Oryctolagus cuniculus: one gene and its partners. The main gene of each other region encodes a partner of the protein of the gene in region 3 in a complex. Links are inferred from orthologs where the notes say so. Each region holds a gene or a part of one and is shown on either strand. Other genes may lie near its edges. The genes, in order: USP46, USP12 and WDR20.

Region 1 (3,737 bases), on a different chromosome or scaffold from region 3:
TATACTAATTTCTCTTCTAATTCCATTTTCCATTTGCATACATTGCTTTCGGAATCTGTCACGCGCTCCACTCACGGGATGGTAGCCCTGTGTGTAGAAGTTGCTCACGTCTGGAGACCACACCTGCCAAGCTGTGCGCTGAGAGCCACAAGTTACGACCCCAGAGGTGGACCGGGTGCGCCGACAGCGCCCACCTCGAAACCTAAGCGCTGGGTCTCCCTGGCAGGGGTGCGTCTTCCTTGAGGAACTGGCAAAGTCCTGTTCTGGCTGCTTCCACCCCTGCACGGTCCCTGCCCCCTGCCCCCTGCCCGGCACCGGACTCCTCCTTGGTACCTGCACCACCTGAGCGCACGCATCCTGGCCCTGCCCGCCCTTCCCGGGCGCAAGGCCCGGCCGTGCTGGCCACGGCTTTCTGACCACTGTCCTGTCCTGACCCCATTTTCCACCCTGGGTCCCCGCCGGTGTCGTGCGACAGGAGAAAGGAAAAGTTGGACGTGGTCACTTTGACCCCACCCCCGGCCCGGCCCCAGCTCGGAACCCCGGGGCTGCGGGGGCGGGAGGGAGACCCGCGACCAGCAGGCGGCCTAGGGCGTCCCCAGCGCCGCGCGCTGCCCGGGCACACAGGCGGGGCCCGCGCTCCGCGAGGCCTGGCCGCGCGCTCCGGCCCGCAGCGAGCGCGCCGGGGGCCCCCCGCGCGAGGCGGGGGAGGCGGCGGCGGGCGGGGCGCGCGGCGGCGGCGCGGACCCACGCGCTCGGGCCGCCCCTCCTCCCGCGCGCGCCCCGCCCCCGCCGCCGCCTCCCGGCCCCCGCCCTCCCGGCCTCCTCTCCCGGCCGAGCTGGAAGCCGGACCCAGGCCGCCGGGCCCGGCCTCGCCGCGCGCGCCCGCCATGGCCCGTGCCGTTCTCCCCTGGTAAAGATGGCGGTGCGCGCTCGCCGCCACCTTTAGACCCATGACTGTCCGCAACATCGCCTCCATCTGTAATATGGTGAGTGCCGCCGCGCCGGGCCACTAAGGGGACCCGAGCCGCGCGCACGCCGGCGCCGGGGCGCGGGCCAGGGCGCGGGGCCCCGCCGGAAGTTCCCGGCCGGGCCGGGCGCGCGGCCGAAGCCACCCCCACCCTGGGACCTGTGAGACCGGGGACCCGGGGCCGCACCGCCGTGCCCCCACCTCGGGTTGCGGTGGAAGCGTCGGGGGCCGGGAGGCAGCGACGCCCCGGGGCAGGGCTGCGGGCGAGGAAGCCCCGCTGTGCCCCCGCGCCGCCCCCTCTGGGTCCGAGTTCAGCCCTTGGGCTTCGCCTGAATCCACTTTGCAGCGGCAGTCGGTGGTGGTCTGCAGAAACCTGCCGTGTGATGGAGCTGTGGAAAAAGTGCGGTTGGGGAAGTGAACTTCAACCTGGCCTGGGAAGGCGCCGCGGTGGTGGGGTCTCATGCCGCGGTTTCCCCGTCTCTGCAGAGGGGGGCGGGGACCTGGACGGGCAGGAGGGCTCCGGGCTGCCCTGCCTGATCCCCCGCGGGCCACCGGCTGCTGGCTGGCGTGCACCCGGCCAGGGGCTCTGCAGTGGGCCCTGACGGGGGTCTGGGGCCGTGGCCTGGTGGGGACTGTAGTTTCTGTTTCTCCCATTGCTTTCTGCAGCAGCAGCTCCCACTGAGTCCCCAGAGCCAGCCCTGCCCGTCTTCCCCTTGTCATAGCCCTGGGGAGCCCGGCTTGGGGTCAGGATGAGTGTGTGTCTGCATGCTCCTGCCCCTTGCCTGGCCTTCCCCGGCTGCAACGCGTGCTCCTGGGGTGCCACTTTGAGGCCGGGACCCCGAGGAGGCTGGGGGTGAGGTGTGCCGGCCGCCCCTCCTCCATCTCGGGCTCTTCTCTGCTTCTGCCCCACATTCTGTTGCAAGAGCCACACCGGCAGAGGAGCACGGAGAAGCCTTGTGTTAGCTCAGGGGCGGCTTCGGCTCTTAGCTCCGTGGGACTTGGCCACACTTGGCCGGGTGAAGGCTGGGGCGTCCCGGAGTGACAGCGGCACAGGTGTTGACATGGGGTGGGCTCCGTGGGGGGCTCCTGTCTCCTCTCCCTTCCTCTCTTTTTCCACGAGGAAGCGGGTTTCCTGCTTTTTGTCGAGTGGCGTGAACGCAGCTTGGTGCCGCTGGAGGAGATGTTTTCTCCTCGCTTCCCCTCGGCTGCTGCCAGTCCTGAAGCCACAGCCGCCGAATGCCTGCCTTCGGGCCTGCCGAGTAGCCAGGCTGGCCCTGAAACCCTGGTGCTGTTGACACCGCTCAGTGTGGAAGCAGCTTGGGGGACGCCGGCCTCCAGCTGCACCGCGGGCTTCTAGCGCACCTGGCTCCCGTGAAACACGCCAGGGAGAGGAGCCGCAGGAGGACAGGACAGGCAGGGGGGTGGCAGGCCCTTGCTGTGTCCGCGAGTGGGACCCCCGTGTGTGCAGCCCTGAAAGCCTGGCGGACCGAGGAGCTGCGCGCAGGCCAGGGGAGTTTTCTGTTCGCACGCCGGTCCTGTGTGTGGGGCGCGTGAGGCAGTTTCCGCTCTCAAGGCCTTGCCACTGCTGCTTCTAACTTAACGCCTCCCGGTCTTGGGGACAAGTTGCTCTTCTTTCCTTATCTTCAGTAAAGGGAGGATACTGGCTCTTACCTCATCCGGACAGTCGTGGCCGGCGCCTCACTGGGGTGCTGGGGCCGCTAGCAGTTGAGGTCAGCACCATCCTTCTCGGACAGGCCTGCGGTGGTTTTGGGCACTGGGGAGATGATGCATGGATACTGACAGCCCACCTGCTGCTTGGTGCAGGCCAGGGGAGGGCGGTGTGTGCAGAGGCTGCTCGGGGACCCCGCCCCTCCCAGCTGGCCTCCCACACATACCTGGAGTGGGCTGGGGATGAGGGGACTGCTGTGTTGCCACCCCATCAGACCTAAATGTTCTTTACACCCTCTTTAGAGGCTTTCCTCAGTGTGAACTGTTTCCAGCGCTGTCTTCTGGCTGGCTCCTCCCAGGGCTCAGCTTCTCTCTGGGGGCTCGAACTGGCCCTGCCCCTCCCAGGTCCACACACTCCCAGCTGTTTGAGTCGTTGTAGTAAGAGCCCGGGGGATTGCATTTTCATTTTTTATTTATTTCTTTTTAAAGCAATTTTTATTTTTTTAAAATATTTATTTGAGAGGCAGAGAGATGGATCTTCCATCCACTAGTTCACTCCCTAGAGGGTTGCAGTGGCCACAGCTGGGCTGATTTGAAGCCGGGACTGGGTCTCCTATATGGGCGCAGGGGTGCAATCAATTGGGCCATCCTCTGCTGCTTTCCCAGGCGATTAGCAGGAAGCTAGATCGGACAGAAGTGGAGCAGCTGGGACTTGAACTGGTGCCCGCATGCTATGCTGGTGCTGCAGGTGGAGGCCTAACCCACTATGCCACAGCGCTGGCCCCTATTTCTTTTTTTTTTTTTCTAAGATTTACTTATTTATTATTAAAAGAGTAAACACAGAGAGAGGGAGGGACAGAGAGAGATTTTTCCACCCTGTGGTTTACTTAAATGGCTGCAAGGCTGGGTACCAGGAACTCCATCTATGTCCCTGATGTGGGTGCAGGGGCCCAAGCACTTCTGTTGCTTTTCCCAGGTGCATTAGCAGGGAGCTGGATCAGAAGCAGAGCAGCAGGGACACACTGTAGCCTGCAGTGTAACCCACTGTGCCACAGCACCGGCCCTGATCCTTTTCCTGTTTAAAGCAGGTTGTTTGGTGTAT
Region 2 (3,741 bases), on a different chromosome or scaffold from region 3:
TAATAGCACCTTTGGAACAGCCTCACTTGGCCAGGCATGGACATTTTGCCAACAATAAGTGCACCAATCTGCAATTAATGTACTGGGTGGAAACCCTAGAAAGAGCCTCACAGTCTGACATTCTTCAGATCAGAATGCCACTGACATAATGTATGACCTTGCAAAGCTCTGTGCCTCGTTTTCCTGATGTGACTTCAGCAAATACACACACACACACACACACACACAGAGACAGAGAGACTTGAATAGTGTCTGCCTCCCTCGACTAGAAGGTAAACACCATGAAAGCAGAAACTATGGGATCCCCAGCACTCAGCACAGTTTTTAGCACATGAATGAACAGTAAAGAGGATCACCCAATCCTGAAACCCTAGCCTTTGACAATGAACTATGACCCCACGAGGTGCACACTCAGCCATTTGGCAAAATTATCACTGTCAAAGACTTAATTATCACATTCACTTTGAAATCGACAGATAATAACTGGCGTGTCTACAAATAACGAGCTCACACCAACCTTGGAAATCATTTTAATAGAGTCCCTTCACCAATGCGTTCCTCAAATGTAAATCGTGAGAAAGAACAAACACCCGTTTGGGGAAAGGGATTCTTCAATGACTCATTCTTCCACATGACTTCTTCCTTGTCCAGGGTAGATTTTAAGCCCACCTGATTTCGGCCATATTTTGAAATTATTCCTCAACACCCAGGAGAGAAACTGCCTCTTACAAGCATCTCTGCGACCTAACTGCTCAAAGTAGGGAGACATTAGGTGCAAGGCTGCCCCGGGATCTCTTAGGAATTGCGACGCGTGAAAAAGAGCTCGTGAGACCAGGAACAAAAGACTTCACAAGTCTTCAGTACCATAACCACCAGGCTCACGTAGGAAAGAATAACTTTTTTGGGCGATGACTCATAAATTACGATCCCGACATATAAGCTCTTAAGGAGCTAATGAAAGGAAGTTGCCCCATCATGTGGAAAAATGTGGTCCTTCGGGCCAGGCACAGAAACACCAAGTTCTACATGCACTCAGAAAGCTTAACTGGAGACTCCGAAGGCGCATCCGCACTTCTCCCTTGAAGTCTGTTCAAAAGGCCCTAATGAAACAAATACCACCGCCCTTGCAGTCAGCCCCGCAACGGGACGCTGGCCGCTGCACACAGATGCGCCTGGGGGATTAAAGTGAGCAAATGAGAGGAAAGCTGCTTTTCCGAGATTAAAGTGGATGCCGGGGCCAAGCCTGACACCTGGACACACGCTGGAAACGGGGTTCCTCTGGGCGAGCAGAAAACGCAGAGAACGGCCACGCCACTTACTTAAAGTTTCCACCTACACTCACACTCACGGCGCCCCTGGCACGGGGTCGCACTTCTGCCTGGCCACAGCCACCAGAAGCAAACCTACACTTGACTTCCGTCCTCGCCTGGGCAGCAGCGAGCCTGCCCAGCCCGGCCGGCCGAGACCCTTCCTTCCTGCCCGCAGACCCCCGCCCCCGCCGCCGACGCCCGGCCACACGGAAACGGAGACGGCGCGGCCCCGCGGCCCTGCCCCTGCGACCCCCAGCCCGCCGCCGCGCTCCCACAGGCCGGCTGCGCCCAGCAGAGACCGGAGCAGGGCGGCCCGGGCTCGCCAAGGCCGGTGGCCGCCCCCAGCCCCCTGGCCACGTCCAGCACGGCGATCGCCCCTCGCAGCCCGGCCCGCGGGGCGCCTCCTCGGCCGCGGGGGCCGCTAATCGCCCGCGCTCCCCGCCCGCGCGCCGTCCAACCGCCCCCGCCCGGGCCGCCCGCCCCCGCGCCAGGCCCCCGCCAGCGGAGCTGAGGGACGGCGAGCAGGGCCGTCCGCCCGTCCGAGGAGTCCCGGGCCGCCCGCGCCGCACCTACCATGGTACAGATGGAGGCGAATTTGGAGACTGTCATTAGGATTTCCATCCGCCCAGCGCCATCTTCTACCCAATCACAGCGGCGGCGGCAGCAGCGGCGGCGGCGGCGGGCGGGGGAGGAGGGAAGCCGGGCCGCCCGCTCGCACCGCAGCCCGCGGGCGGACCCCCGAGCCGCCGCAGACCCACGCACCGAGCCTGCTGGGCCGCCGCTGCCGTCGTCGCCGCCGGCGCTCAGGCACTCCCTGCCTCGGGCCCCAGCCCCCGCCTGCCGGCCGCCCGCCCGCCCCCGGCTCCGCCCCGGCGCAGGGCGCAGCCGCTGCCTCGGGGCCCGCGCCTGCCCGCGAAGCCTGCCGCCGCACACCCCGCCCAGTGCGCTGGGGAGCGGGCTCCGCCGAGGCCCTAATGCCCGGCAGCTGCGCGGCCCCGCGGCACCGCCCCGCTCGCGCTCGGACCGCCCCGCGCGCGGCCCCGGCGCCGGAGCGCGAGCCCGGGGACTCGGGCCCAGCCCCTCCCGGCGCGCGGCCGGGGGCGGAGCCCAGGGCGGGCGCGCCTCCTGCCCGCGTCCCGCGCGGTCCTAGAGCCTGAGGGCCGCAGAGCCCGGGCTGCGGGCGCTGAACCGGGTGGAGCCGCGGCGGCTGCCGCTGGGCGAATCCTGGAGCAGGATTCGGAAAATTGTGTGTGGAGAGAGAGAAAAGCTGCTCTTGTACAGTGAAGCTATCCCGGGGCTAGTCTCAAGCGCTAGGTTTGTTTCTTTGTTCAGAATTTGGGTGCAAACGCTGTAGCTTACAAAAAGGCTAGCTACTTAAAAGCGAGGCAATAAACACAGTATGTTTGAATTAAAAGGAAGGGTAAGTAGTGGGGGAGGGGAAGGGAGCGAGCCCTACCTGCCTGCCTGCTTGTCAACCTGTCGCTGTAAATTTAGAATGTTTCTAATGATCGGCAAATTGAGCTGCGAAGTGGAGAGGGTCTCAGCCCGACAGTGATGATGGTGTCACGGGAACAAGGAAAGTGAGCCCAGCAAAATGTCAGAGATTCATACTTAAGCAGGGTTAGTTAGTGGGATGATAGCTCCTTTTTTATGCTACTTTTCTAAAAATTCGTACATGCACCCTGCTCTTCGTGTCTGGCAGCTCAGTTTTGTTTTCTTTTATTTAAGAAAGGACTTCAGGTGGGTCGGGTAGCTTTGGATGTGATTGTTTGACAGCTGAACTAGTGACGGGGTGCTTTTCTGGGGTTCCAGCATTTCAGCAGGGCTAAAGGCCCGAATTCAGGCCGACCTCTAAAATTAGGTATAGATTCAAAGCCTTCGAACACCAAAACAAAGCGAGCTACGTTTGGATGAAGAATGGATTTCTGCTACGTGAATGCTGTTTCCATAGTGATTCTGTTATAAGCTTGCTTGGGAGTGAAGAAATGCCGAGTGGGTGCAGCCGCGTGCCAAGGTAGCCAGCCTCGTTCTCCCGTGCCTGCCTTCTGCGAGGCTAGGCACTCTCCCTCCTGCCCTTGATGCCGGGTTAGTGGCTAAGGCCGTGTTTTCACCTCTGTGCATTCATGTCAAGCCTAGGGAGGGAAGCCAAGAGGCAAGTCCTCTACCCCTCCCAGCATCTCCCAGCCCCTGGACGCCATGTAGGAGACAGCTGAATTCCCAATGAATGTCATGGTTCCTAACTGCAGAGCCTCGCAATGGCTTATCTGCTCAAACAAAAAGCACTGTGCTGACCAAATAGACGAGCTTCAGCCCCAGCTCATTTCCTTGCTTGGGTCCTGAAGCTATCTGGGTATATTCTGTAACTTACGTATTCAGAAGAACCCCCAAGAGTCAACTGTACACAAAGTCAACTTTTGCTAGGCACAAGAAA
Region 3 (3,641 bases):
AAGGTCTTCCTTCCGTTGGTTCACCTCCCAAATGGCTGCTACAGCCGGCGCGCAGTACCAATCCAAGCCAAGAGCCAGGTGCTTCTCCTGGTCTCCCATGCAGGTGCAGGGCCCAAGCACTTGGGCCATCCTCCGCTGCCCTCCCGGGCCACAGCAGAGAGCTGGACTAGAAGAGGAGCAACCGGGACAGAACCAGTGCCCCGACCGGGACTAGAACCCGGGGTGCCGGCACCACAGGCGGAGGATTAGCCTAGTGAGCTGCGGCGTTGGCCTAATCGTTCATATTTCAAATTGGATTTTTATGCTCTAGCTGCCAGTTGTATCGTATTTTATGTTTTTAGCTCCTTTTTACATGACCTGGTATCTTCTTTGTTCTGAGATGTCTTGCTTATGTTGTTCAGCTAGCCTAGAATCCCCTCTCCCTGCCTTACGCTCAAGGAGGAGCCACTGCCGCGGGCAGCCTGTGCATGGTTCATGGCTCCTCTGCTTCAGCCTTCACCCTGCCCAGGCCCAAAGTCAGGACGCCCCTTTGTTTTGTGTCATACTTTATATTACACTTTTCACGGCTCTTTCATGTATATATTCTCTTATTTCATCCTCCAGACAATCCCATGAGGTTGGTAGAACAGAGATTCTCATCTCCATTTTGACTGAGGTGAGGCTGGGAGAGTGTCCGCATGGCGTGTAACCTCATTCCTGTGCCCTGGGCCAAGTGCTCCGGGCTTGAGTTTGCTCAGAGATGCTTGTAATCTTGAGGTCCTTTCTTCTACTCAGTATGTATATTTGTTTGAAAATCAACTATTAGAACACTTGGCACAATGTCACAGGCCTCTTTGGAAGAAAGAAATCTTCAGAACTTCATGGAGGGGTGGTCATAGAGAACTAGAGGGTGAACCCCACCGTGGCACCCAGGGCAGAGAGGATGTCTTGGCATAATCACTGATGGGAACTGTCTCCACGCGTGGTCTTCACACGCAAGCAGGAGGGGGTGGGTTCCCCTTACTTAACAGTAGCAGCCCAAAATGTTCATTAGTCATGAGGAAGGGAATCTTTCTTGCTCAAAGGAGGGGACATGTTGAAAATAATTTTTATTTTTTAAGTTGCAGAGCCATGTGTTTTTTTATTTTTTATTTACTCATTTTAAAGGATTTATTTATTTGAAAGGCAGAGCAACAGAGAAAGAGACATGGATGGAGGGGAGGGGGCAGAGAGAGAGAGAATCTTCCATCCATTGGTTCACTCTCAAAATGACCACAACAGCTAGAGCTGGGCCAGGCCAAAGCCAGAACCAGGAGCTTCATTCGAGTCTCCCATGTGGGTGGCAGGGGCCCAAGCACTTGAGCCATCACCTGCTCCCCTCAGGGTGTTCATTCGCAGGAAGTGGGGGTCAGGTGTGGAGCCAGGACTCAAACCCAGTACTTCAGTACAGGATGCAGGTATCCCAAACAGCAAGGTAACTGCTGCGCCAAGTGCCCATCCCCCCAGATTATTTTTAACCCAAGTCAGAAATTACTTACTTTTGACTTTGGGGTGTGCGGGTATGTGTTTCTCCCCATTCCCTTTATGGGCAAACAGAACTGGGTTTCAAATGCCAGTTACTAAATAGGTATTGCCGACAGTGGCCAAGTTAACTTCTCCAAATGTATTTGCTCACTGGTAAATTGGGGGAAATACTGTCTGCACTGACAGATTACTGTGAAGATTAAATGTGCGTGCAAAGCACTTGAGTGTAGGCTCAGTAAGTGGAAGTTCCCTGAAAGCTAACACAGAAGAGGGATTGTGGCCCGGAGAGGGAACCGCCTGTGTACGGTTGGCCCAGCAGTGGTCGTCAGACTCACCTGGAAGGCTTTTAAACTGCAGCTTGTTGGGCCCAGCCCGTAGTTTCTGAGACACAGGGTCTGTGGTGCGGCTTGAGAATCTGCTTCCCAAGTCTCCAGGTGGTGCTGCTCTGCTGCTGCTGGTCTGGCGGCCACACTGGAACACTGGGCTGCAGGTAGCTCACCCGTGGGCGTGTAGGTGTCACAGCCGTGTCTGAGAGCGGACCTGTTCCGTGTAGAGTTCCTCTGTTAGGAAAGTGCTTGGAATGCATCCTGAAAATACCGAATGTAGTATCTGAGATTCCCCGACCCCTAAAACCAGAAGTCTTTGTCACAGGAGATAAGCTGTGATTTTTAACAGTTATAAACATAGTATAGCAACATCTAATTGGCTAAGGTATGTGAAAGTGTTTTTGTAATATGTGAGACAAATGTTAAGTCATAACTGAAATTTTTTAAATAACATTGTTTTTAAGATTGAACATCATAATGGAGTATAAAATAGTATAACTTAGATTTCTCCTATGTCAATGTACTGTTTACCGTATGTATTTTTCTCTTTCTCCTCCAGGCTGCTGACTTGAGTAAACCAATAGATAAAAGGATATACAAAGGAACACAGCCTACTTGTCATGACTTCAACCACCTCACAGCCACAGCAGAAAGTGTCTCTCTCCTAGTGGGCTTTTCCGCAGGCCAAGTCCAGCTTATAGACCCAATCAAAAAAGAAACTAGCAAACTATTTAATGAGGAAGTAAGTAGCACCCTGTCTCAGCTGTTAAAGAATCCCTTTAAGAATTTATACATTCTTACCAAGGATAGTGGACCTTGTTTTGTGCTTCAAGCTAAGCCCATGTTTTATTTGCTCGGCTGTCCTGTGTAGTGTTAGCCCCAGTTTCAATGTGGTGGATTAGTAGTGACCTCTGCCTGTTCTCCCTTGGGGTGACTGTTCCATGCATTTTTATGGAGTGTGTGCAGGTATCCATACTGGGGATTTAAAACCCTTCTGTAACAGGTAGAAATGATTATAACTTGATACTCGTAATTTAATTAAAACTATAGAATTCCCAGTGTTCACGTCACCAGAATAATTCCGTGCAGACTAAGAATCTGACAATTTCTATAGGCTGCTGCGGTTGCAGCTGAAGCTTTCTTGTGGTTGTGCACGCGCGGTTCGACAGGCATTTGACTAAGCAGCAGTTCTCTAACTCTGGGAAATATTCGCTGTAAAATCACCTTGGGCATAGTTAGAAATCCTGGCACTTAAAACTGGATCACATGACATAGATTTTGCCAGCTGTAGTATGTGTTAAGGTTTCCAGTTTCTTCGGTTTCATTCTGGAAGGAACCTGAGATAGCCATCAGTTCAGGAACATGTCAGAACTTAAACGCGCCAGACAGAATTTGCCAAAGGGATTAGTATTTGCAACAGTGATTGGAGCGGCTTTTCTCCCCAGCTGTCGCCATCACATATTTGATGTTCCTGCTCCTCTCTCAGTACAACTTCCCTGCGATTGGGAAGGATAAAGCGGGTTTCCTGAATGAGAAGCCCTGGATTCTAGTCTCTCCTGTGACTTCGGCCCTCATATGCATGGGTCGGGTTCTATGAGACCCCGTTCAGAAAGAACAGTGGTTTTGAACTGTTGCATGGCTTTAACGTCATTAAGGTAGAACAGAAGCACATCGTAGAGTCTGGTTTTTAAGAAACAACCTTTTTTGGGGAAGAATATCAAACTTGTCAAACTCAGTTAAGACTGATTTTTGCAGTCATGGTGGTATTTGGTCTCCAGCGTTCATCCAAGGTGCTCCTGTTTGGCACTGACG

Evidence for each region.
Region 1: the proteins of WDR20 (region 3) and USP46 are in contact, whole or in part, in a crystal structure (PDB 6JLQ), measured with the Homo sapiens proteins. The link is inferred for Oryctolagus cuniculus from reciprocal best matches to the Homo sapiens genes WDR20 and USP46. Residues at the interface, in NP_653175.2 of Homo sapiens: Asn41, Ser42, Gly44, Arg151, Lys259, Tyr261, Phe262, Gly263, Glu282, Asp283, Asp284, Leu285, His301, Lys304, Ser305, Trp306, Gln374, Asp375, Thr376, Leu509, Arg516, Met517, His533, Glu534, Arg535; in NP_073743.2 of Homo sapiens: Asn205, Thr206, Ser207, Thr209, His210, Arg213, Arg273, Val275, Phe276, Pro277, Glu279, Leu280, Arg281, Phe283, Asp293, Met295, Gln338, Glu342, Tyr344, Thr347, Ser348.
Region 2: the proteins of WDR20 (region 3) and USP12 are in contact, whole or in part, in a crystal structure (PDB 5K1C), measured with the Homo sapiens proteins. The link is inferred for Oryctolagus cuniculus from reciprocal best matches to the Homo sapiens genes WDR20 and USP12. Residues at the interface, in NP_653175.2 of Homo sapiens: Asn41, Ser42, Gly44, Ser45, Arg151, Ser170, Lys259, Ser260, Tyr261, Phe262, Gly263, Glu282, Asp283, Asp284, Leu285, His301, Lys304, Ser305, Trp306, Gln374, Asp375, Thr376, Arg516, Met517, His533, Glu534, Arg535; in NP_872294.2 of Homo sapiens: Glu207, Asn209, Thr210, Ser211, Thr213, His214, Arg217, Arg277, Val279, Phe280, Pro281, Leu282, Glu283, Leu284, Arg285, Phe287, Asp297, Met299, Gln342, Glu345, Tyr348, Thr351, Ser352.

What each region holds. Positions count from the first base shown.
Region 1 is NC_091439.1:110,974,598-110,978,334, forward strand, and holds the start of USP46 (ubiquitin carboxyl-terminal hydrolase 46), read left to right. Parts: upstream 1-799; 5' UTR 800-950; coding exon 951-986; intron 987-3,737. UniProt on the Homo sapiens protein: Deubiquitinating enzyme that plays a role in behavior, possibly by regulating GABA action. May act by mediating the deubiquitination of GAD1/GAD67.
Region 2 is NC_091440.1:87,334,986-87,338,726, reverse strand, and holds the start of USP12 (ubiquitin carboxyl-terminal hydrolase 12), read right to left. Parts: upstream 2,378-3,741; 5' UTR 1,932-2,377; coding exon 1,884-1,931; exon of another isoform or gene 1-1,883. UniProt on the Homo sapiens protein: Deubiquitinating enzyme that plays various roles in the regulation of the immune response and inflammation.
Region 3 is NC_091451.1:45,449,635-45,453,275, forward strand, and holds part of WDR20 (WD repeat-containing protein 20), read left to right. Parts: intron 1-603; coding exon of another isoform or gene 604-655; intron 656-2,388; coding exon 2,389-2,571; intron 2,572-3,641. UniProt on the Homo sapiens protein: Regulator of deubiquitinating complexes. Activates deubiquitinating activity of complexes containing USP12. Anchors at the base of the ubiquitin-contacting loop of USP12 and remotely modulates the catalytic center of the enzyme.